4 linked regions of the Schizosaccharomyces pombe genome follow. Changing the gene in region 3 together with the main gene of any one other region gives a genetic interaction. Each region holds a gene or a part of one and is shown on either strand. Other genes may lie near its edges.

Region 1 (7,640 bases), on a different chromosome or scaffold from region 3:
CTTTTTTAACTCTGCTTGTAATTGAACAGAAAAATCATCGTCTCCAATGTCCTCATCGTCCCAATTGTTTTCCCATAGCGTATCATCTCCAGTATCAAGCTCTGTATCTTTCATAGGCCAATCTTTTTGATGTTAAATAATTATTTCTTTAAAAGTACTTACTTTCTGTTGCGAAATCTTCAAACTCATCATCATCCTCAAGGTCTAAGCATTATGTTAGTAAACGTCTTTAGGCCAACGAAAAAATCATAGACATTAGCATATCGAATAAATAGTACTCGAAAGCCACTCTAAATAATTTGTAACGTACTTTCTAAGCTTGGTAAGGCCGCACGAGACATTCTAATTTATAAACGTGATTTGGTGTGAAAGGTGAACCCTGCCGTACTGTGATGTTTGAATGAACTTTTCACTGGTAACGATGTCTACTGAGTTACACTATTATATTTACAAACTGCATAAAGTTGCAGACTAATAAATAGCAGTTTGCCATTGATATTTCAATTAAAAACAAATTGTATTACTGGATTATTCTTATCTATGCTGACTCTATGTTCTGAATACCGGAGGATTTCCTAAAGTCAAGATTTGAAATGCAGGGTTTATTAACATTATAATTAAAGGTACAATAAGAAACGATTTTTAGACTAGAATTTAGTGATCTTTGAAATGTAGCAATCAAAATTGAAGACTGTAAAAGATAAACATATTCGAGCTTCAAACCTAAAATATTCCGGATGAAAAATGAAGAAACAAATTGGCTTTTGTATGACAGGCTAAAATCTACTTCATCTTTTCATACATGCTGATCAAGCTGGTATATTTAACCTCCTCCTTCGGCCAAAAGTAACATGCAAACATCCATAAATTCTTCCTAACAGTAGCTTTTTCTTCGGAGGGTGTATCATTGACAGTTTTTTCAATATGCTTTCCAATCGTTGTCAAACACTCAGTAAGTAACTTCACCAACTCCGCGCGTCCAAGCCCACTAGAATCTTTCCGAAGTCTTTTCATATGCTTACGGACTGGATACATCAGTTCTTTGCAGCGTGCCTTTTGTTCAGCATTTAGACTTACATTACCATCGTCTTTTTCAGATTTGACGGGTGAAGCTGTCTGGCTGCGAGACTGTTCCCTACTAGGTGTTTCAATCTTCGTGTCTTTAGAAGAAGGTTTCTTACGAGATTCTGAAATTGCAGGCGATGGTGTCCTAGTTGCACTCTCTATTTTTTGCGCAGATTTAACGTTAGGCTTGCCACTTTGTCTGCGATTAGCCGTCTGCTTCTTAGGTTGAGTTTTTCCATTAGTACTAATAGCGGGGCTTGATTTTATGCCAAAATTTTGGTGATGCTCACGTAAAGCACTAAGTAGGTATTCACCTCGACGAACCAAATGCACAGCTGAAGGTACCTTTTTCTCTTTATTTTCTTTATCTTTGGGGACAGAGTTGTCTGTTTGTTTTGTGTCTTCTAAAAAGATCTTGTCTTTCATTTTGAGTTCTGGATCATCTCGAATTTCTAACCAAGCTCCAAATCCATGCTTACAAATTCCAGAAAGCAACATGGAATCTTCTCGGGGTCCCCACTGACAGGACCAGCCGTGAACAGATCTAACGTGCATTGGAATTTGGAAGTTAGAATATCCTGACGTTGGCATAGCATCATAAAGAATATCAAGATCATTTAGCCTTTGTACCAATGTTTCAGCATTTATATTTTTTACACCTTTAAATGTAATGAGCAGCGCTTTACGAGATGACTTATTATTAGACTGATCATTAGATAAGTCCTTCTCGGCTGCTGATACAGCCTTGCGTGAAGCGGTTACTAAGTCAGCTGCAATCTTTTTTATTACGTGAGCATCTTGCGTAGTAAGATCAGCATATTTAACAATGTCATTGTAGCGATGCTCAAGGCTTCCATATCTAATCATAGCACGATAAAGCAACCGAATTTCCTTTTCCAGTAAAACCTCATCTTTAAGCATTTGCTTTTTGCTCTTCCTTTCAGAAGTTCCAGAGTAGGATGGGGATTCCACCGCAGAGCTAGGATAAGGACGATTACCTCGTCTACTACTAAGCTCAATTTCTTGCTTAAGCGCTTCTTCCTCTTCTCTTAAGCGGTCTTCCTCTTCAAACTTCTCACGTTCAGTTAGGGGTATAATATCATCCCAAGATACATCTGCCTTATAGTCTGTAACTTCGAACTGTTTCAAAAACTCTTCACCACCCATGCTGGCTCCACCCACATCATTGGAAGTATCATGATCTTCGGCATGTTCCAAAATTTCATCTAAATTCATATCCTCAAGCTTCTTTTGATTATTCTCTGCTTTAAACATATTAGAAGCTCCAAATTTCAAAATAGCGCTAAGCTCTTCAGCAGAAAATTTATCATTTTTGGAATTCTTTTGCTTGTCTGTAACACCTAATGAAATAATTGCATATTCAAGAATCATTTTACGACGTGCACGTTCCAAGACATCTTCTTCAATCGTATCTTTGGAAAGAAGCCTGTATACCATAACATGATTTTTCTGACCAATGCGATGCGCACGTGCCATAGCTTGTAAATCAGCTTGAGGGTTCCAATCGGAATCAAAAATAATAACTGTATCAGCAGTCATTAAATTAATACCTAATCCTCCAGCTCGTGTGGATAATAAAAACACAAAATCTGGGCTGTTTGGTGCATTAAAATGATCTATTGAAGTTCTTCGTACAGCAGCAGGGACAGTGCCATCCAGTCTCTGATGTGGATATCCCCTCAAAGAAAGATAATCACCAAGAATGTCAAGCATACGAACCATTTGACTAAAAATTAAAACGCGGTGGCCGTCTCGACGAAGACGTGATAGAAGTTTGTCAAGTAACACCATTTTCCCGCTGTTCATAATTAAACCTTTTAAGACTTCATCTCGTCTTCCTTGAGAGTTTATTTTTTGCATCCATGACTCTTCTACTCCGTCAAATAAGTAAGGATGATTACTTGCCTTTTTCAACTCCACAACTATGTTTAGTAAAGATATTTGACTTCCCGAACTTATGCTTTGAGTAAGGACACGGTAATTGCGAGTTAAAATATTTTTGTACCAGTACATTTGTAAGTCAGAAAGCTCAACACGAAGGATACGTTCAGACTTAGAAGGAAGAGATTTCTCAACGTCTTTCTTTAATCTTCGTAAAATGTAGGGTTGTAAATGCTCCTGTAAACTTCTAATATAAGCTTCCTGCTCCTCATCTGGTGCTTCTAAATTAATTTCCTCACGAATCTCAAACTTTCCTGGCATCAGGAAGTCTACCAAAGCCGCAAGCTCACGAATATTATTTTGTAATGGTGTTCCAGTTATAAGTAATCGATTTGAGTTCTTGAACTGAGAAAGTGCTTCATAAAGTGACGATTCACTGTTTTTTAATCGATGAGCTTCGTCAATTGCCATATATTGCCATTTTATATTACTAAGCACCGAGCGATCTTTGAGTACATACTCATAAGTAGTTAGAAGCAAGTTGAACTTTATTTTCTGAGTTCCATCAACATAAAATTCGTAATCCCTTATTACTTGCCTTGAGGTGGTATTTCCAAGGTAACTTATACAATTCATATCAGAAGCCCAAAGAGCTAATGTCTCTTGCCAGGCAGGAACTGTAGAAAGTGGAACAACTACAAGAAAAGGTCCATGCTGTCTTAAAGAATGTGCAAGATATGAAAGAAAAGCCACAGTTTGGACTGTCTTACCGAGACCCATTTCATCGGCCAAAATCCCATTTTCATTTTTATGCCAAAGATATGCCATCCAGTTGACGCCTGTAAGCTGAAAGTCACGAAGCTCACCACCGGTTATATACGAAGGCTGTTGCTCCAGTTTTCGATACTTAGGACGCGAATTACCATAGTTTGTACCTCTTGATGGACTAAGAGCACTTTCTTCTCTTTCTTGAAATGCCTGAATTTCCGTGGCAGCAATAGGCTCAATAATTGAGGAAGCTTCCCATGTGCAAAAATCATATAACAGCTGCTTCCATTTCACTAAGTATTCAACTGAGCCATCGGAGTTTAAGTGTTTGGCAACAATTCTGTCTACCTGCTTATATTCCTCGTAATTTTCACGCTTTCTCTCTTTTTCAATATCCATTGCTTCAATGTCTTCACGCGTAGTGGTCGGATCTTCTCGAATTTCTCGATCAAGAAGTATGACTTGCTTAATGTGATTGTCGACCTTTTTAGATCCTCTGATCATAGAAATGTTATTGTAAGGTTCCCATGTACAATGAAGATGAGAAAAATTAACCCATTTAATTAAAAACTCATAATCTTCAGAAGGTGTAGAGCCATCGTGTCCTTCAATAAGTCTATGATCTAAAACGACATCTATAGCTCGTGTATCTTCAGGTTCTTCAGAAACTTCAGTTGCGTACTCATACATCTCTTCTTCCTCTTCTTCTTCAAACGATTCAAAATACGCGTCTTCGTTATAGTTAACACCTTTACTATTTCTAGAAGAAAATCGAATTTCATCTTGAACGTAGGTGTTTGATTTTTTTTGCCGAGATCGCTTTTTGGGAGTTCCGCCATAAGAACTATCATCTGACTCACTTTCCTCAGAGGTGACAGATTCAGCTTCATCGTCTAAATCGCGAATTGTTCGATGACGAGAAAAAGATGAACCATTTCTAGTACCTTTACGATGCTTGGATGGGAACACATCTTCTTGATCATCAGTGTCTACATATCTTCCTGGATTACTACGAGTGCGACCCTATAATGATTAGCATCTAAGTAAGTTTCATAATGAATAAAATAATGTGAGACATACAGAACGTCGAAGACCGTAAAGCTCTGGGTCGAGCCATTCAGTAGATTGTAATTTGCGCTTGGAGGCTACGCCGCTATTCGAAGGGGATTCGGACATTTCCTGCTTAAGATTAGGGGTTTCAGTTTGAACGTGATCCAGCTGCTCAATAGCCTTAGATGATGACAAAGCAAGTGCTATAGCACTTGTACTCATATCAACTAAAACAGAAGTTAGAACCAATTTCGCAAATTTCTTATTGCAAAACTTTTCCGAAATTGAAATGCTGAATAATTGTGAAATATGTAATAGGCTTCCATCCAACTTCTAGTTAACTGAGAACTGCCAGATGCCACTTTAAATGTGAATATTTATAACTCTTGACTAACGACTATATTTAGACGAGATCCGAACAGATTTAAATAAAGAACACATATTAACTCCCGTATCTTTTCGATAGGAAGCACTATATCGTTCATTTTCGAAGAAAGAGCAATTTTGAATAAAAGGTCGAATGCCACCAAAAAGATTGTATCACAAGAGAAACAAGCAAAACATAATAAGAAAGAAGGTTTTTAAAAAAAGAGAGCTACATTCAGTGCATTGAACAATGTAGGTTTAACAAAAAAATGCGACACGTGGATCATTCACATATTCAGCGTCAAATTCGGAAAACGAACTGTGGCTGCAACAAAATTTAATAAAAATTTACTTACGCGTTATTAAATAGAACGCTTATAGCAGTATTTTGCTATTTTAATAGCAACTTGCTAGTTTTGTTACAAAAACAATTTTTGAGGTACTGGTGGTAGAGGTTCAAATAGCTACAGGCTGTATCCGCTACTAAAGGTAATCAAACTGTATGAATACAAAAAGCGAGTTGAGAGAACATTAAAATGCATGTGTATTAAACGCACTAACAATTAAATTTCTAACTTGAATACTAACGAATTTCACCTTCTTCACTAGATTCTGCATCATCAACAATATTTTTAACAGCCGGTTGTGTAGCGGTAACATGAGAGATTGAATTTTCCTGTACATCCTGCATCGTATTAATTTCATTCCTATTACTTTTTGACGCTAAGTCAGCAGAATATTCCAACCTTCCATCTTCGTATCCGCTATGTGGTCGGGCACTATTCGCTAAATAACTTTCATCTTTACCGACATCATAATAACCTCTTCTGTTTTGGTATTGCTTTTCCAATTCCCGTTTTTCTCGAAGCCGTCTTATATATTTGTCAAAAGCAGCCATCCTGTGTTCCTCGGAATGGAGCGCAGCAAATTCCGGTAGAATAGAAATTAAAGGTCTAATTTCATCGTAAGAAGCATCGGCAGAAATTGGAGGTTTAAGGTATTTAATGGCACTTCTGAGATTATCAATTTTCCTTCGAATGCGTCGTTCATCAGCACGCTTTTCCTCAGCTTTTTTGTGGATCGCTTTATCACGTAATCGATTAACAACTTCTTCAATAAGGTCTTCAGTTACTGCCTCACTTTCCTCTCGATCTTTAAGCTTTTCTGATAACCTTGCTATAATTTCAGGAATATTAGATGTGTCATCCACAGATATTTGCAATACTTCAAGACAGTCCAAAACCAAATTACGCTTTTCCCGATACATATTCTCCAAATCAACGATCGTATCCCAAAATAAATCTAATGGTGTAGAGCCAGATTGCCCTAGTAAGTTAAGATATCTTGGATCATCCTTGATTATGGGATATAATTCTTTCCACTTCGTGCGTAATGTAATCTTCTTTTGCACGCGTAAGTCTTGTAATAGCGCACGAAAGGCATCACGATTTTTCCTTTCTATACGATGCTTTTCTTTCTTCTGCTTTTGTTTGTCAAGAATATATTCGCGTTCCAAATGCTTAACATGATCTTCAAATGCTACAAGAGCATCTAATTTAGAAAGATATTTCATATTTGAATTCCTTGTATACCTTGGATCTTGATCAAATTTTGCTTGCGCAACGCTCCAGCGGGTGTAAGGCTCGAAATTCATGTTTCGCAAAAGCGAACAAAAATCATCCAATGCTTCCTTTCTGCGATCCTTTTCCAACTGCTTTTCATCCTCTAAAAGCTTTTGCTTATATTCAAAAAATAGTTGTTGTTGTTCAGTTTCAGAAGAAGTAGCGTTAAAAGCAGGATGAGAAGAAAATTCATTCTTCACAGTACGCCACAAAGTATAAGAATGAATTTTATCACTACTTTTTAGCATCTCAATAAACTCCTTCCTAATCTTAGTTACTCGGTTCTTTTCTGCATCACTTTGATCGGTCAAATAGTTTAAGATGTACGCATCGAAAGCACATTTCCGATGCCAAGGATCCTTCATGACATAATAGCCCTTAGCATCACAAAGCTCTCGGACAGTCTGCTCCCAAGTCCAGCTTGGGTTGACATTATGAGAGTCTAAAAATTTAAAGAAAGCGCGCTCTGCGGCTTCATAGGTATCATAGTTTTCGTGCTGATAATCATTAGAACGTTTTTGGCGCTTATCCTTTTGTTGAACAAAGTTTATAGTTCGTTTATGACTGCCTTGTGAAATTTGTTGGCTTTGATCTTTAGCTGGTTGACTTGAAGGAGCAGCAACATCCGGACCATGCCGTTGAATGCTTTGAACAGCTGGCTTGTTGTCATTGCTTTTGATTTTAGACGACAAAGCCTTTTTTTGCTGTTCCGGTTCATCAACAAGGGCAGCTTTATATTCATCAGGAATATCCCACACTGATTCACGGGTATTGACATTATACCAATACTTTTTGCCATCAGCGGTGGCATATTCTTTCCAAGCTAGTTTCGAAAGCTTTTTTTCAAAGTCATTCATTAACTCCTCT
Region 2 (3,107 bases), on a different chromosome or scaffold from region 3:
AAAATGTTACTGTGGGCCAGGCCTATTGTGAACTTCATAAAATACCTTACATAGAGGCAACTCCGCCACTTTTACGGGAAGAGCTTGTTAATTATCAATCTTAATTTTTCGTCTCCGGATAGAGTTTGTTCATGATTGCTTTTTTAATGAATAATATTGACAAGACTCGGATAGTTTTGTTAATCGTGTTTTACTTTACTACTAATCTATGGAATATTTTGAAAATAACATAATTTAATTTATACATTTCACGGCCTTAATCATCCTTTATTGGTTTATCATATTGAATAGTTGGTTTAGTAATAGAGGTACTAAAAGTCAAGCGTTAATTGTCCGAAGTATGCATTATAAATTCTAATTCCAAATGAGAATATTTCATAACCCATTCATTTGTATTAAACGTGACAGTAAATAAGAATTTATTTAGTCTTTATACATATGCCATCAATCTTCATAAAAACGTACTGGAGTTTAAATTTTAAAACGTGGTTATTACCCTTGCTTAAAAAACATTCTTTTTTTATTTAAGGAAATAAGTGTTGTGGCATTTAGTTTTCATATGCAATTAATAGGTTTTCAATCCCAAATTGCGTTGTCTACTAATTAAACGTCGTAACTACTTCTTTCTCGAATGGAATCGTAAATGAGTGAAGCACAATTAAAAACTTCCTTGGAGGCTTTAAGTCAAAATTTATTACCTGGAAACCAAAATCATTGCAGTTTCGACTTCCAATTGAAGGAAATTGACGATTCAATTAAACAGGTGATAAAATGTGCTCTAGTTGCTGCTGAGATAAAAAATAATGAGGTATGTGTACCATTATTACGAAAGATAATGGAAAAAATTAATATGAATTGCTTTTAAAACTCGAAAGTGGTGTTATGTCGAGATACAGTTTTTTAAAAAGAAGTTCGCTGTACAAATATACATACAAAAACATTGTTTAACTAATATTTTTCTTCCTCTTATTTCCGGCTATTGAGAGAGAGCCTAAAATAGACATAATATGACATGCTGCTTACTTTATGACTTCTGACTAACACTTGCCTTTTAGTGTTTGGACATGCTTGATAGCGGGATCCGAGAGCTGTTGGATGCAAAGCAGAGATTGTTATTGATGCAGCAATCGGTGGATACATTGGCTAACAAAACCAGTGAAAATATAAGTGATTTTGAAGTACGTACCACGGAAATGACTTTCCTACTTTTTCTATTATATGTAGATGAAGTAAAAACATCAATTTAGACGTATTTTTTTACTGTTTCATATTCAATTGTTCTAACAAAATTAGAATAAAAGTTTGTTGGATATTTATACACAAATTTTTAAGGAACTCATTCAAGAATACGAAGAAAAATCCGACTATGGTAAATATGGCACACAAGGAGAATACATTGAATTTAAAAAAACCATATGGCATGAGCAAAATACAGACGGTTCTGACTTTCCTTCTATGAAAACATTTTTTAATGTCATGAACACTGAAGAACAGGAAGCAGATGAAGTGATGGTATATTCAGCTACCTTTGATAACAGATGCCCTTTAACTTTACAACCAATTGTTCACCCAATATTATCGACAGCCTGTAATCATTTTTATGAAAAAGATGCTATTTTGTCTCTGTTAAATCCAACTTGTGTATGCCCTGTTGTAGGATGTGAAGCTCGTTTACAAAGGTCTTTACTTAAGGAAGATGAGATTCTTGAACGCAGATTACGCCGCGCTCAGGAAATAAGTAATTTAAAAGAAGCTTAGTCCTTTTCTATTTACATTGTAGTACTGATCCGGATTTATTATTATTATTATTATTATTATATTTAATGTATTTGTTTATTCCAACTTGTAAATATGCATAACATGTCTCTTTTGACTAATATTCTATGCTCGTACGGAAGCTTCAATTTTGGCATTTAATTATGAAGATAGTTAAATCTAATATAAGATCTACTTGATTGTAACCTTATGATAAACTTTGGCTCATGCTTGACTTTGACACTAGCCATTAACATACCATGTCCTCAGAAAATATGGATATTACTGAAAACATACAAAATGAGCAAAATAAAGATTTTGATGATATAGATTTTGAAAGAAGGCGTCGTCTTTTGACCTTACAAATTTCAAAAAGTATGAATGAAGTTGTGAATCTTATGTCAGCTCTAAATAAAAATCTTGAAAGCATTAACGGTGTTGGAAAGGAATTTGAAAATGTCGCGTCTCTTTGGAAGGAGTTTCAAAATTCAGTGTTACAGAAGAAAGATCGTGAAATGCTAGATGCACCTTGATGGTCGTTCTTTTCTAAATGTATTTTCATTGCCGCTAAACATATGCCTTAACGCAGTTTGTTTCAAAGAATTTGCATATTAAATTAAATTATTAGTTATTATATGTTTTTTATGAATCTATAAATTTAATAGCGTCCTCAAAAATTGGTCAAAGGTCAGGATTCTTTTAAATTAACTTACATATTACAATACACAAACCTTAAGTCACTTCATTAATAATGTGTTTGTATATATATATTAGTTTTTAATCTTCCTATATTCTTCTAAAAGCTGCCAATTTTTAAATAAGCCGTTCATCGTCTGAGAGGCAGAACAACTGTTGATGTTAATATTTGCATAGTAAACTTTTTCTTTACTACTATACGAATCCTTTTAGAAATTACCATTTTAATGGTATTATTTAAATTATAAAAGGGGTTTAATGCAGTTTAGCATAATAAAAAGGTAAAAGGAATCATAAGTATTCATTTCAATATCTTCTATATAACTATCGTTTTATTCACGACATGAATACCCTGAACCAGTCAGGGTTAAAAAACCGATTTTCAAAGTTTCGGACAAATATAGGCATATTTGAAGTAAAAGTAAAAAAAAACATTAAGACCAATTGATTTTTGCTGACATATATTCAGAATCAAACAGATAACGTCTTAATAAACAAATTATAAATCACAAAATAGCTCCAATAGTCGATAATCCATCTAAACCATATTGGCTAGTTAAATACCTGAAAAGATAAAAAGTTGAGATAGGAGCAAAATTCTGAAAAGGAAACTGCTACACAATATGCTTAGATTAAAAGAAAGCATACAAGCATAA
Region 3 (4,266 bases):
TTCTAATTTTGAAAGTAATAGATTTGCTATTGCACAGAAAGCTGATGCTGAAATTTATGAAGTTTTGAAAAAGAATCGCATTTTGCAAATTGACGGCACTATAGAAGATAACGAAGATGAAAAAAAGCCACCTGTTGATACGCCTTCTGACGAAGCAATTAACTCAGATTTAGACGATCCTGATTCAGATGAGGCTCCCGAAACTGAAGAAGGTTCTGATATTGGACAGGCTATCGTTCTTTGTCTTTATGACAAAGTGAACCACCACAAAAATAAATGGAAATGTGTGTTCAGAGATGGCGTAGTTGGCGTTAATGGAAAAGATTACTTATTTTTCAAGGCGAATGGTGAGTTTGAATGGATTTAAAATTTTACTTTAGGTGTTTTGCTTCAAAAAGTGATGGACGTATTTTATCTATCAATCATTCTTCTTTTTGGCCTTTTTGTTTTCTTCATGAATCATGTTTATAAGTGCATTTAAGTAATCTTCCTATCATATTTTAGTGAGCACATCAATCTATTCTACGGTTAAAAGTATTATTATTATTTCATGCAAATTTTATTCACTAAAGCAAGCAATTAAATTAGATCACAATGATAGAATTACAGTATATACACTTTCAAATTTTAAACGCTTCATACAGATGTACTGTAATTAGATGTAGTGTGGTCCGATAAATCATTAAAAATAGAAGTTGGCGAACCAAGGTGTTGCGTAAGCTTATCCTGAAATAAAGGTTGAAGCTTTTCTAACCACATTGAGCGCTTGTCCATCAATGATTTGATGACAGGAAAAGAGCCGCTCGTAGCTGAAGAGCCAATTTTATCAGTAACAATACGTTTCTTTTTAACCTTCAAACTTCTGTTACGTTTGACATACGCTTGTTCGATTTGTTTATCTAGATCATCCATCACATTTTGGAATTCTTGAAATGCCATTTCCTCAGGAAGCATCTGTAACAGCGCATTCCTCATTTTTTCGTTTTCATCAGAAACTACCTTCAAACGAGCATTCAAACTCCTTAAGGTAGCTGAAATTTCATCATCCTGTCGCTTTGACCAATCTACATCGCCATCATAAAGTATACCTAGTTGTTTTAGGGTGTAACGAAGGCGGTCCTCACAAATTGAAAGACTCGACTCTTGTATATCCGGTTGTTCTGTATATTCATTATTTCCTGACTCGATTCCATCAATGCTTGTACCAATTTTGCTTTTCTCGGATCCAGAATCGGTTTCCGCAAATTCGCCAACAGCAATAGAAGGTTTTTGCTCCTCATCATTCTGCGTGTAGCAAGGAATTAATGAAGCCATTAGTCGTTCAGTGAGTGGACCACACCTAACTTCCTCAGAGACGGTATCTGCCTCATTAAAAGCTTCAAGGGATCCTTGAGCAGAGGTTTGCAGGTTTTGGTAAATTGAGTTAGCACACAGGTTGGTCATTTCATCTTCCGGAGTTAAATCGTAATAGCGTTCCCCCAAAGGAGGAATATTATAGGAAGACGAAACGTCAAATCCTTTTTTTAAAAAAGCAATATCATCATCATTGAAAGCACGAAAATATGGGTCAAGTGACGAATAAAAGGTTGATATTGAAATCTGGTTATTTGGCTTGTTGTGAGAAAAATCATCAGTCGCCGGAGTTCCTGCCACCAACGATCGTACATCACTGGTTGGAAAGGAATCTACACATAAAAGCTTCTTTTTTTGTTCATAAGAGAAGGAATCGTCAACAATGAAAGATAGTAATGAACCGGTTAGAAGATCGTTTGCGTTTTTATATACCAACCCAGTTGTCTGTTCATCTTTACCCTTAACCGGTAAATCTAATTCATTCTCAATTGTTTCCACATTTTCGGGACTGATTTCTTCATTATGGGCCTCTGAAACTTTGGGCTTCTTGGAAACTTTTTCTAGCATAGACTCTTGTGGACTTTCGGAAAGAGAACGCTTTTGCTTTATTTCTTGTTCAACGTTGTCTTCTTTAAATTCTTCTACTTTTTCTTCCACTTTATTAACCGACGATTCGTCTTTTGAGGTTTCTATTTCAGAATCGACATGAGACTCTAACTCTTCTTTGCGCTGGCGAAAATATTCTACACAAGACGGTTCACACTCAATCATTTTTTGCAGCTCAAACAGAAGCCGCCATAATGTCGACACAGACGGTACAACACCAGGAGTTGACGTTTCACTCAGACGGGAAAAGGTCTCGTATTGATTTTCAATTTTAAAACATTGAGGAATCACCGCGGGTTTCGAATCAGCTTCATTTTGTTGTTCGGAGGACATCCCAAAAAAATTTAAATCGTGAACAATACAACATTTACATATGTCTCTCTCCCCCGAAAAAATTCATTACTGAGGTGGTGATTTTTTATACCGGATTTCGATGATGGCGTACTTTTAGCGAAGTCTAGTATACCACTTGTTACATTGTTATAACGGTGCTCAGAAATATTAATCAAGAACAGCGTTGAATTGCTACGAATATGATATCTCAAACCAAATTAAACAGCAATATATTTTATTCATAGTGAATCCATCGCAAAAGCAATATGCTTTGCGAAGTATTTTGAACACTATAAGTGATCTTTGGTTTGTTTAAAATTAAATTTATCTTAAATTTAATAGTTTCTAAACCAATTGGTCTAGCGCAAGAACTAGATAAACAGAGTTGCAGCTTCACAAGATATCATGAAATAGATCTACGAGTCAATGGAATAGGATTTGTTTATACTTAATTAAGAGGTAAATATTTACAAGAAAATGTTTTATCATTTTTTTTTTTTAAATTTTGGATGTTTTTATTGCTATTCTTTCCATTTATGGGACATTATTTGACTGTAAGTCTCAGCAAATTTAGTGGATTGAGATTAGAAAAAGAAAAAAAAAAAAAAAAAAAAAAAAAATTTTTCTCGGTTGTAGATTTTCTCATATTTTCCTATTATATATTTAATTTACTACAATTGTCTTTTGTAATTTTCATTATATCACTCAACAGAATCACATGAAGAAATATCTCACTGAACCATCGTAATTTCAACAATAACAATTGTCACATATATTAAATAACTATAAACTGTAATAATAATAAAATGTGAAGAAAGCTCAACCGAACTGGTGGGTTTAACTGAAGCAATTTCATCTGCTTCGCATTTCCAGCATTAACCAACCACCCACCGTCATAACCGCTAAGATTTAAATTCCCGCCATCACCCCGGTAGGTCAGCCACCATTTCCTGTATTTGCCATCGTATTGAAGCTTTAGTTGTATTAGAAACTTTGAATATTTTTTAAGTAGTACGATGGCTCAAAACTCAACCCAACTGGAAAAGGTATGTGATATTTTAAAGAGTTTTGGTGTTTTGAACCAACATAATGTTTTATGATTCAAAAAATTGATTTAAATCAAGTATTTACTAAAAATAATCTTTTTTAATTGGTTGAAAAGTTTGATGATTAAATGCAAAATTTTCTTTAGTTATCCGCTTGGTTTTTGGTTTTTATCTAACAAATTGCCGTCTTAGATTTCTGGTTCTTTCACAAGGTTGGCGGAAGCTTTTCAGTTAGCTTTAACCGCATGCCGTGAGATCGAAGAATCACTTCCTTCGATATTAGGAGAGAAGTCCGAGGTTTCGAAACCTTTTAAGCCAGCCGTCACTGATCCATCAAATGCGAAGAAAGAGATTAATATGGCAATTGAGTCTCCTTCTAAAAAAGCAACTTCACCTAAGAAAGCTACTCCTGCAGCAGTAGCTCCTGTTGAGGCAACCTCCGCAGTCGATACGTCGGAAGCTGTAGCCTCCATGACCCCAAACAAGCGCAAGGCTAGGGATCCTGCACAACCAAAGCGCCCTCCATCAGCCTATAATCTCTTTCAGAAGAACCAACGATCGGAAATCAAGGAGTCTTTGGGCGAGAAGAGTAACGATGTTAAAGAGGTGAATAAAGCGATGCATGAAAAGTGGGGCTCGCTATCTGAAGATGATCGGAAAACTTACGAAGAAGAAGCTTCTAAACTTCGAGAAGCCTACGAAGAAGAAATGGCTGCTTATAATGCTTCTAAAGAAAATGCGTCAGTTGCTGATAGTCGAGTTACGGCTGAGGAAACTTCTACTAAACCTTCAGAAGACTTATCCTCTCCCACTAAAAAAGATTTGATAGACTTTTCAGAAACCAGACCATTGGCTCAAGCTTCTAGAGCCACTCCTGACATTAAAGAACAGCATGCTAAGAAACCGAAGCGAAAGCACACCCGTTCAA
Region 4 (6,154 bases), on a different chromosome or scaffold from region 3:
TTCTTCAAATTCCTAGGATGAACTAAGGGTTATTCAGTTTTATTTTACCAATAATGAATTTGTTTCTTTATCAAGCAAAAGAATGACCCACTCCTCAATCTTGAGGTTATGAGTGTTCATGGCTAGCTATTAAATGGATCGCCGTAAAGTCCTTAAGCTGAGCGCAGTTGTAAAACTTTAGACATATCCCAGTTTCTGCTAGGCTATTATTGAAAGAGTTTGCCGAGTATCAAGATTTACTAGTATTATAATAAGCAGATCGCATACCGGTTCATGCCAATTGGTACTTAAAAATTTTAATGTATGCGGTTCATCTCGAAAACTCAAGACGCTTACTTTAGCTAATCTAACGTTCAGTTTAGAAAAAGAATGCAATGCAAAAAGCGATAGCTTATTAAAAGACTTTCCTAAGGTATTGCATTCACGATCCAGAACAGCAAACCTGCAACGATCTATTTTGGTTTTAAAAGCGCCAACCTGCTCTATGCGTTTAAACCCATGTAAGTTTAACTTACAAAATAAGCAATTACTTTCAATATAATAAAAAATTGATCCAATCGAATATAATATATACGATTTCATTGTCATAATACCTAAGTTTTGACAGTAGTTTGCTCATAATCTACAAAAAAGAATAAAACTAAAAGAAAGAAAAAAACATGCATGGTTGTTCGTCAAACCTAAATGCCAATTATGCAGCGATATAAATATCCCCCGATCATTTGAGCATAGCTTCGAAGACCAAAGATACTCAGCAAAAGTAGGGCAGGTAACCAGAAAGAGAATAGCATAAAGTCCATTCCTGCCTTTTTCAGTGTCTTTGCCTGCTCCTGTATTGCTCTGGTTTCTTCAGGAGTAAGAGCAGTAGATTTTCCACGACCAACAAGCCGAGATTGCCATCTCAAAGACCACCAAACACTTTTGTGATGATCGGGATCTTCAGATATAGCGCTATCTCTTTTACTAGAACCAGCTTGCGCTGTCGTATCATCAGCAAACTCAGAATAAGGAGGGGGTACATCATCGGGAATGGCCGATATACTTTTTAAGGTTGACAGCATGGCTTTTTGCATCATGGATGGAACTTCACTCATATAATTCTGAGGTAGTTCTTGAAGCGATGGAAACATTGTAACAGTTTTATTCCACATACTTTCACTATATGACTTGGTCTGAACAGCAGATTCCTCAATTTCGTTAACAATACTGGTTGATTCTAAGGTTTCATTTGTATTAATGGAGCCTTCAGAATCCTTAATAAGAGAGCGAGAAATACTTTGGGCTTGTTCATTATTTGCTTCCTTAAAGACCAGTTTTATAGGCTCAGAAGAGGAGAGGTCTATCGGTTTTTTACCGCTAGCTCCTATAACATCAGGCTTGGCACCGTTGGAAAGTAAATTAACACATATGTCTTTATGATCATACAATGAAGCATAATGCAGTGGTGTATAGCCAAGTGCGTCCCTTTTGTTAACATCGCATCCTGCGTTGCATAAGAACGTCGAAGCATTAGACAATCCACAGGCAGCAGTAAGGTGGAGAAGTGACCTACCAGATTCGTTAACAAGACTAAAATCAGAAAGGTATGGTGTCGTTGTATCTGTAACAAGAGCAAATGCTGCGAGGATAGTACTTTCAACACTGTCATCAGACTGATTACTGTCTTTTTTCACAATCCGCGAAATAACCGATTTAAGCGATTCCATATTGCTATCATGCAATAAGGTTTTTTTAGACTGACCTTTAGATTCACTGTTAGGAGGCTGCTTAATAGAATTTGTTATATATTGAGCAAAATCGTCGCGCCATGAACTCAACAATTTTTTGGATAACGTTAATGGGTTTTGAATAGATCCAGTAAGTTTTAAGCCTAAAACTTGAACAGTTAATTTGTAAAGTTCATTATCTAAATTATCTTCATAAGTAAACATTACTGGCGCTTCAGAAGATGAATTATAGTTCTGAAAGGTTACAGGAACGGTTCCAGCATTAGTTGCAGGAGGACAAGTCGCTATAATCGTTGACTCACTCCACGAAAAAGTTACAGCAGCTGGGTTGTCACCAAATAAACAGACTAATCCATTAAAAAAGTTCGCGCCAAGAATTGTAACTTCATAACCTCCCATGATTGAACCCTTATTAGGAATAATCCGAGATATTAAGGGAGCATGTGAAACATCAGGTGGAGTCATGTTTATAAAAGAAGAATCAACATTTTCTTTTATCGGCGTACTTACAAAATCAGGTTTAGCAACCTCATCAAATTGTGTAAGCAAGTTGTTGACACTACTTTTTTCTTCAACGGAAAACGAGAAATCATCTGTACAGTAAGGGAATGGGGCTATTGGGGCACTTTCATTTGTATGGGCTTCAAGCACTCCTTCCTCTTGCTGTTGTCTTTGTTGGAAACCAGCGGCATCGCTGGGAACTCGAACAACATGGAAACCATTCTTTGAAATGGAAGGACTTACGCCGCTTGGGGTAGTCATACTCAGCACAGAAGGGGATTTGCTCATACTAAAGGCTGAGCCCTCAACACTTTTCAAAGTGCTTTTCGAATTAGGTGAATGCGAGTCACTAGCAGATAGTTGTATGTCGAGTGCTCTAGAATTTTCACTCGAGGATGTTCGACGACGCTTTTCATTTGGTGGATTATCTGAACGGGTAGGGAAACCAGTGACAAGATTGGGGACAGTATTGCTTTTAGAAAGAACATGGTTTGAAGGAGCTTGTTGAGAATTGCTCTTACCAGTCTTTTCTGATTTCGTAAGATTTCTACTTTTATGATCATCAAGAACGGTAACAGGCTCTGGAAAAACAAGACGATCCACCAAACGTGACATGGAGTATAAGTCCCATATGATGTGAAAGTAAGGGCATGATTGATGAGACGAGTAACATGTAATCCGTGCATTGATGTGAGCAACTCTTTCATTTCCATCCAATTGCAAACGAACGTACTCAGGTCCAGTAAAAACCATTATCATTCTATCTTCATCTATGTCTTCAAGTTTGGGAAATTGATTTAAGAGCTTGATCCTGAACTGCTGCTTTTCTTCGGGAGAGGCATCAGTCATGTTACGCTCATAAGCCTTCAGTTTAGTATAGTTAGGCATACAAGCATCCTTTGTTGCTTGAGATCGAGCATTGCGCTTCCTTTCTCGAAGTAAACAGCGAGTACAGCAAGTCTTAACAACTGAGCTTTTGTCACCTGCAAGAACGGTAGGTACAAGATGAATGACGGTCTCCGGATCGGGTTGCAAAGGCTGAGGTTTCGAAGAACGCTTTTTGTCTTCACGGTGAGCCCAACTTGGCAAGCGAAGATATTCAAACGGAACACTTTGATTATCGTTGCTCTTGATCCGCAACTCAAAAAGCATGTTAGTTTCCACCCGAGATTTCCATTTGTGCTCATTGATAGCTGGTAAATGATTAACTGAGAACGCGTACTCCTTATTAGAAAGAGGCGGTGCAGACGTATTTAAAGAGGAAAATGCATAATCTTCGGCATATGGCGTAAGAGTATTAATAGATTCGTTGAAGGGAGTTTCCAACATGGTAATCGGCTGTCTAAACTGTAATGGATCTTCGATGGCGCCCGATGACTTTACAGAATTAAATCCAGCTTCATAAGGTGCTTGTTTCATAGGATCCATTTTTAAAAGATAAACATCCGACTCTCCAAACATGGGATTATCTCCCAAAGGTTGATCAACGGTATTAGCTAGAAAATTAGCATCAGAAATAGAATGTTGCGGAGTAGGAAACACCGTTCTGTTCAAATGCAAACTAGGATTGATGTAGTCTTGCTGACGATCAGACGGTAAACATTCCGCTTCATCTTGTGAATTCGATAAGTTAGGTGAACTGGCATGGGATAAAGACGGAGGAGCTATACTAGGCAAATTTAGACCTTGATCCGGCAATCCATCGAAGTTAAAAAATTCACGCATTTCTGCATCGCCGTTTCCGGCTTTTTCAAAATCGGGAGAGGAAAACATATAATCATCAGAGGAAGACCTCCCCTCCTCTGAACTAAATTTCATGAGCTTGTTTACTTCCCAAGTTCCTTCTTCCTTAGTCGAATTCTCGGTATTTTTGGCGATCAAATTTCCAAAAGAAAATTCTAAATTCATCTTGAGAGTACTTTGAAATGCAATAGACTACCTTTATAAAGGCAATTCTTTCAAAGAATTTAAAGGTCTTTAATGTACTACTTCTTTTCAATTCTCACTTTTGCTTTCCTCCTCGATTAGTTGGTTGTTGGAAGCTGTCGCTGCGCTACTACACTAATCTCTTCCATCACGTTGTGCAAGTATTACATGCTTTCCACTTGAGCACACATTCTCTAGTATTACTCTTATTTTAACAAGTTATTATGTTATATTTATTTAAATAATTAGTTTGTGGGTTTTGTTTTTTAGTTCCGCCACTTTCTTCATATTCGATTAATTTCCTTTCGGCATTATATACCAACAAAAAAATTCCCAACATTCTGATAAATTTAGTAGAATACATGTAAATGAAATTGTTCTTGTCAAAGTACAACTTTCCTTAAAAAATTTTTACAATGTTAAATAGGTTTTTACACTATCCCGCATACATATAAGTTGAATGTTCATAATACTTATTTTATTCGTTTTGATAAATCATTAAATCTTTTTATATACGATCATTCTCAAAGTACTTCAATCCAACAACCTGTTAACTTCAGCTGCAAGAGTTGTGCACACATTTATACATACAGAAATACTAAATGCGAAAATGGCTCCGATTTGTTAGACTGTTCCAATCAAGTCGGCAAAGACAACGGAAAAGCGTAATAGAAATTAATCGGTTACATTGATGTACATCAAGGCATCTTTGACACGTTCCCTTACATCAGGAGATGAGTGATTTTGTAGCATCTGCAAACATTCTCCAAATCCGAGATTTTGTAAGATACTTGCTCTTTCCTTATCTTCCTGGCTTGGAGATGTACATTGTTTGGGCCATAGAATGTTAATACAGAGCCAAATTCCGGCCAACAGAATTTCGGAGTTTGGTTCATAAGTGTCCTCTTCATAAATATCGAAAGGAGGACGCATTTCCCTATCAAAATCATCTTCTTGCAAATCCATTTCACTGTCACTTTCCGGAGATGACACATTTGTGGACATTTGCTCGGGCTTGAGACGTTGTGCTTCTTGTAGCATAATTTCCTTCACCAATAGTAGTAGTTTGGTTTGCCTTAGGATAGAATCCCTAAGCTCACCATCGCTGGCAGCGATGTGCACCAAAATGTAAATACTGGGTTCAATTAGGATAGGATTTTTACTTTCTAATTTTTCAAGCAAAATTTTTGCTAACAACTCCATAGGAACCATTTTCAAAAGAAAATCCACGCTTTCTTCTTTCTGACATGTAAAATTTCGCAGCACTTGCAACATTTGCTCTTGGACCCCCAGATCTTCGTCATTGCAAAGTTCCACAAGCTTTGAAGCACCGATCTTTTTTAAAGGTTCAAGCTGGATCGTCTCATCATCACCAAATACAACATGCCGCAGAACCCACACGGTCTTCTTTCTTAGACTGCTATCTTTCGTACTAATATTTGATATCAAAGTATCAATGAAATTTGTAGTAAGGAATTTCTCTCTCAAAGGAGAAAACTTAAGTACCAAGTTACAAATGGCAGACGTAGCAGTCGATTTGACTCTAGTATCCGGGTCAGAAAGCAACTTTATTAATGGTTCGCTCACGTCTGCATCGGCAAGGCCCGTACGTAAAATGTAAACGCTTCTCGAGAGACTTAATAAGCATTCACAAGCAGCCTTTTTCACGCTGTTAGAATTGATTTTCAAAGCATTAATGATAACAGGCAAATATTTAGCATCAACTATTAGTTTTCTGTATTCATCTTTAGAAGTTGTTAATGCAGCAACGGCTAGCAAAACTGATTCTAAGATTAGGTTTTTTTGCTCCTTTTTGGTAGCAGGAAGATTAAAACAAACGCTGGATTGCAATTCATCGGATAAAAAATTAATTTCATTCTCTTCTTCTTTAGTTGCGTATTCTAGAAGATATTTGGCAGCATCAATAAAACCTGCATTTACAGCCGTCTTTTGCATAATTTCGTTTTCATTGATTATGATGGCGAGAATACGAGGAGCGA

The links.
Region 1: mutations in ngg1 (region 3) and hrp3 together harm fitness more than expected from each alone (negative genetic interaction), as found in Schizosaccharomyces pombe (2 studies listed by BioGRID).
Region 2: mutations in ngg1 (region 3) and dad1 together harm fitness more than expected from each alone (negative genetic interaction), as found in Schizosaccharomyces pombe (2 studies listed by BioGRID).
Region 4: mutations in ngg1 (region 3) and mga2 together harm fitness more than expected from each alone (negative genetic interaction), as found in Schizosaccharomyces pombe (2 studies listed by BioGRID).

Annotation. Positions count from the first base shown.
Region 1 is NC_003424.3:5,375,794-5,383,433, reverse strand, and holds hrp3 (CHD family chromatin remodeller Hrp3), read right to left. Parts: upstream 5,611-7,640; 5' UTR 5,508-5,610; exon of another isoform or gene 5,019-5,507; intron 5,013-5,018; 5' UTR 5,008-5,012; coding exon 4,816-5,007; intron 4,759-4,815; coding exon 784-4,758; 3' UTR 521-783; downstream 1-520. Other genes in the region: proteasome receptor/ubiquitin ligase adaptor Dss1, read right to left, coding at 1-122, 163-204, 311-341; U1 snRNP-associated protein Prp40, read right to left, coding at 5,735-7,640.
Region 2 is NC_003424.3:3,088,234-3,091,340, reverse strand, and holds dad1 (DASH complex subunit Dad1), read left to right. Parts: upstream 1-2,000; 5' UTR 2,001-2,015; coding exon 2,016-2,288; 3' UTR 2,289-2,557; downstream 2,558-3,107. Other genes in the region: taz1 (telomere length regulator), read left to right, coding at 1-104; Smc5-6 complex non-SMC SUMO ligase subunit Nse2, read left to right, coding at 644-808, 1,056-1,178, 1,294-1,758. UniProt on the Schizosaccharomyces pombe protein: Component of the DASH complex that connects microtubules with kinetochores and couples microtubule depolymerisation to chromosome movement; it is involved in retrieving kinetochores to the spindle poles before their re-orientation on the spindle in early mitosis and allows microtubule depolymerization to pull chromosomes apart and resist detachment during anaphase.
Region 3 is NC_003423.3:1,586,051-1,590,316, forward strand, and holds ngg1 (SAGA complex subunit Ngg1/Ada3), read right to left. Parts: upstream 2,349-4,266; 5' UTR 2,293-2,348; coding exon 637-2,292; 3' UTR 542-636; downstream 1-541. Other genes in the region: transcription factor TFIIA complex large subunit Toa1, read left to right, coding at 1-367; upstream binding transcription factor, RNA polymerase I specific, Hmo1, read left to right, coding at 3,309-3,338, 3,531-4,266. UniProt on the Schizosaccharomyces pombe protein: Component of the transcription coactivator SAGA complex. SAGA acts as a general cofactor required for essentially all RNA polymerase II transcription. At the promoters, SAGA is required for transcription pre-initiation complex (PIC) recruitment.
Region 4 is NC_003424.3:4,123,194-4,129,347, reverse strand, and holds mga2 (IPT/TIG ankyrin repeat-containing transcription regulator), read right to left. Parts: upstream 4,266-6,154; 5' UTR 4,137-4,265; coding exon 681-4,136; 3' UTR 543-680; downstream 1-542. Other genes in the region: protein Gid5, read right to left, coding at 4,830-6,154.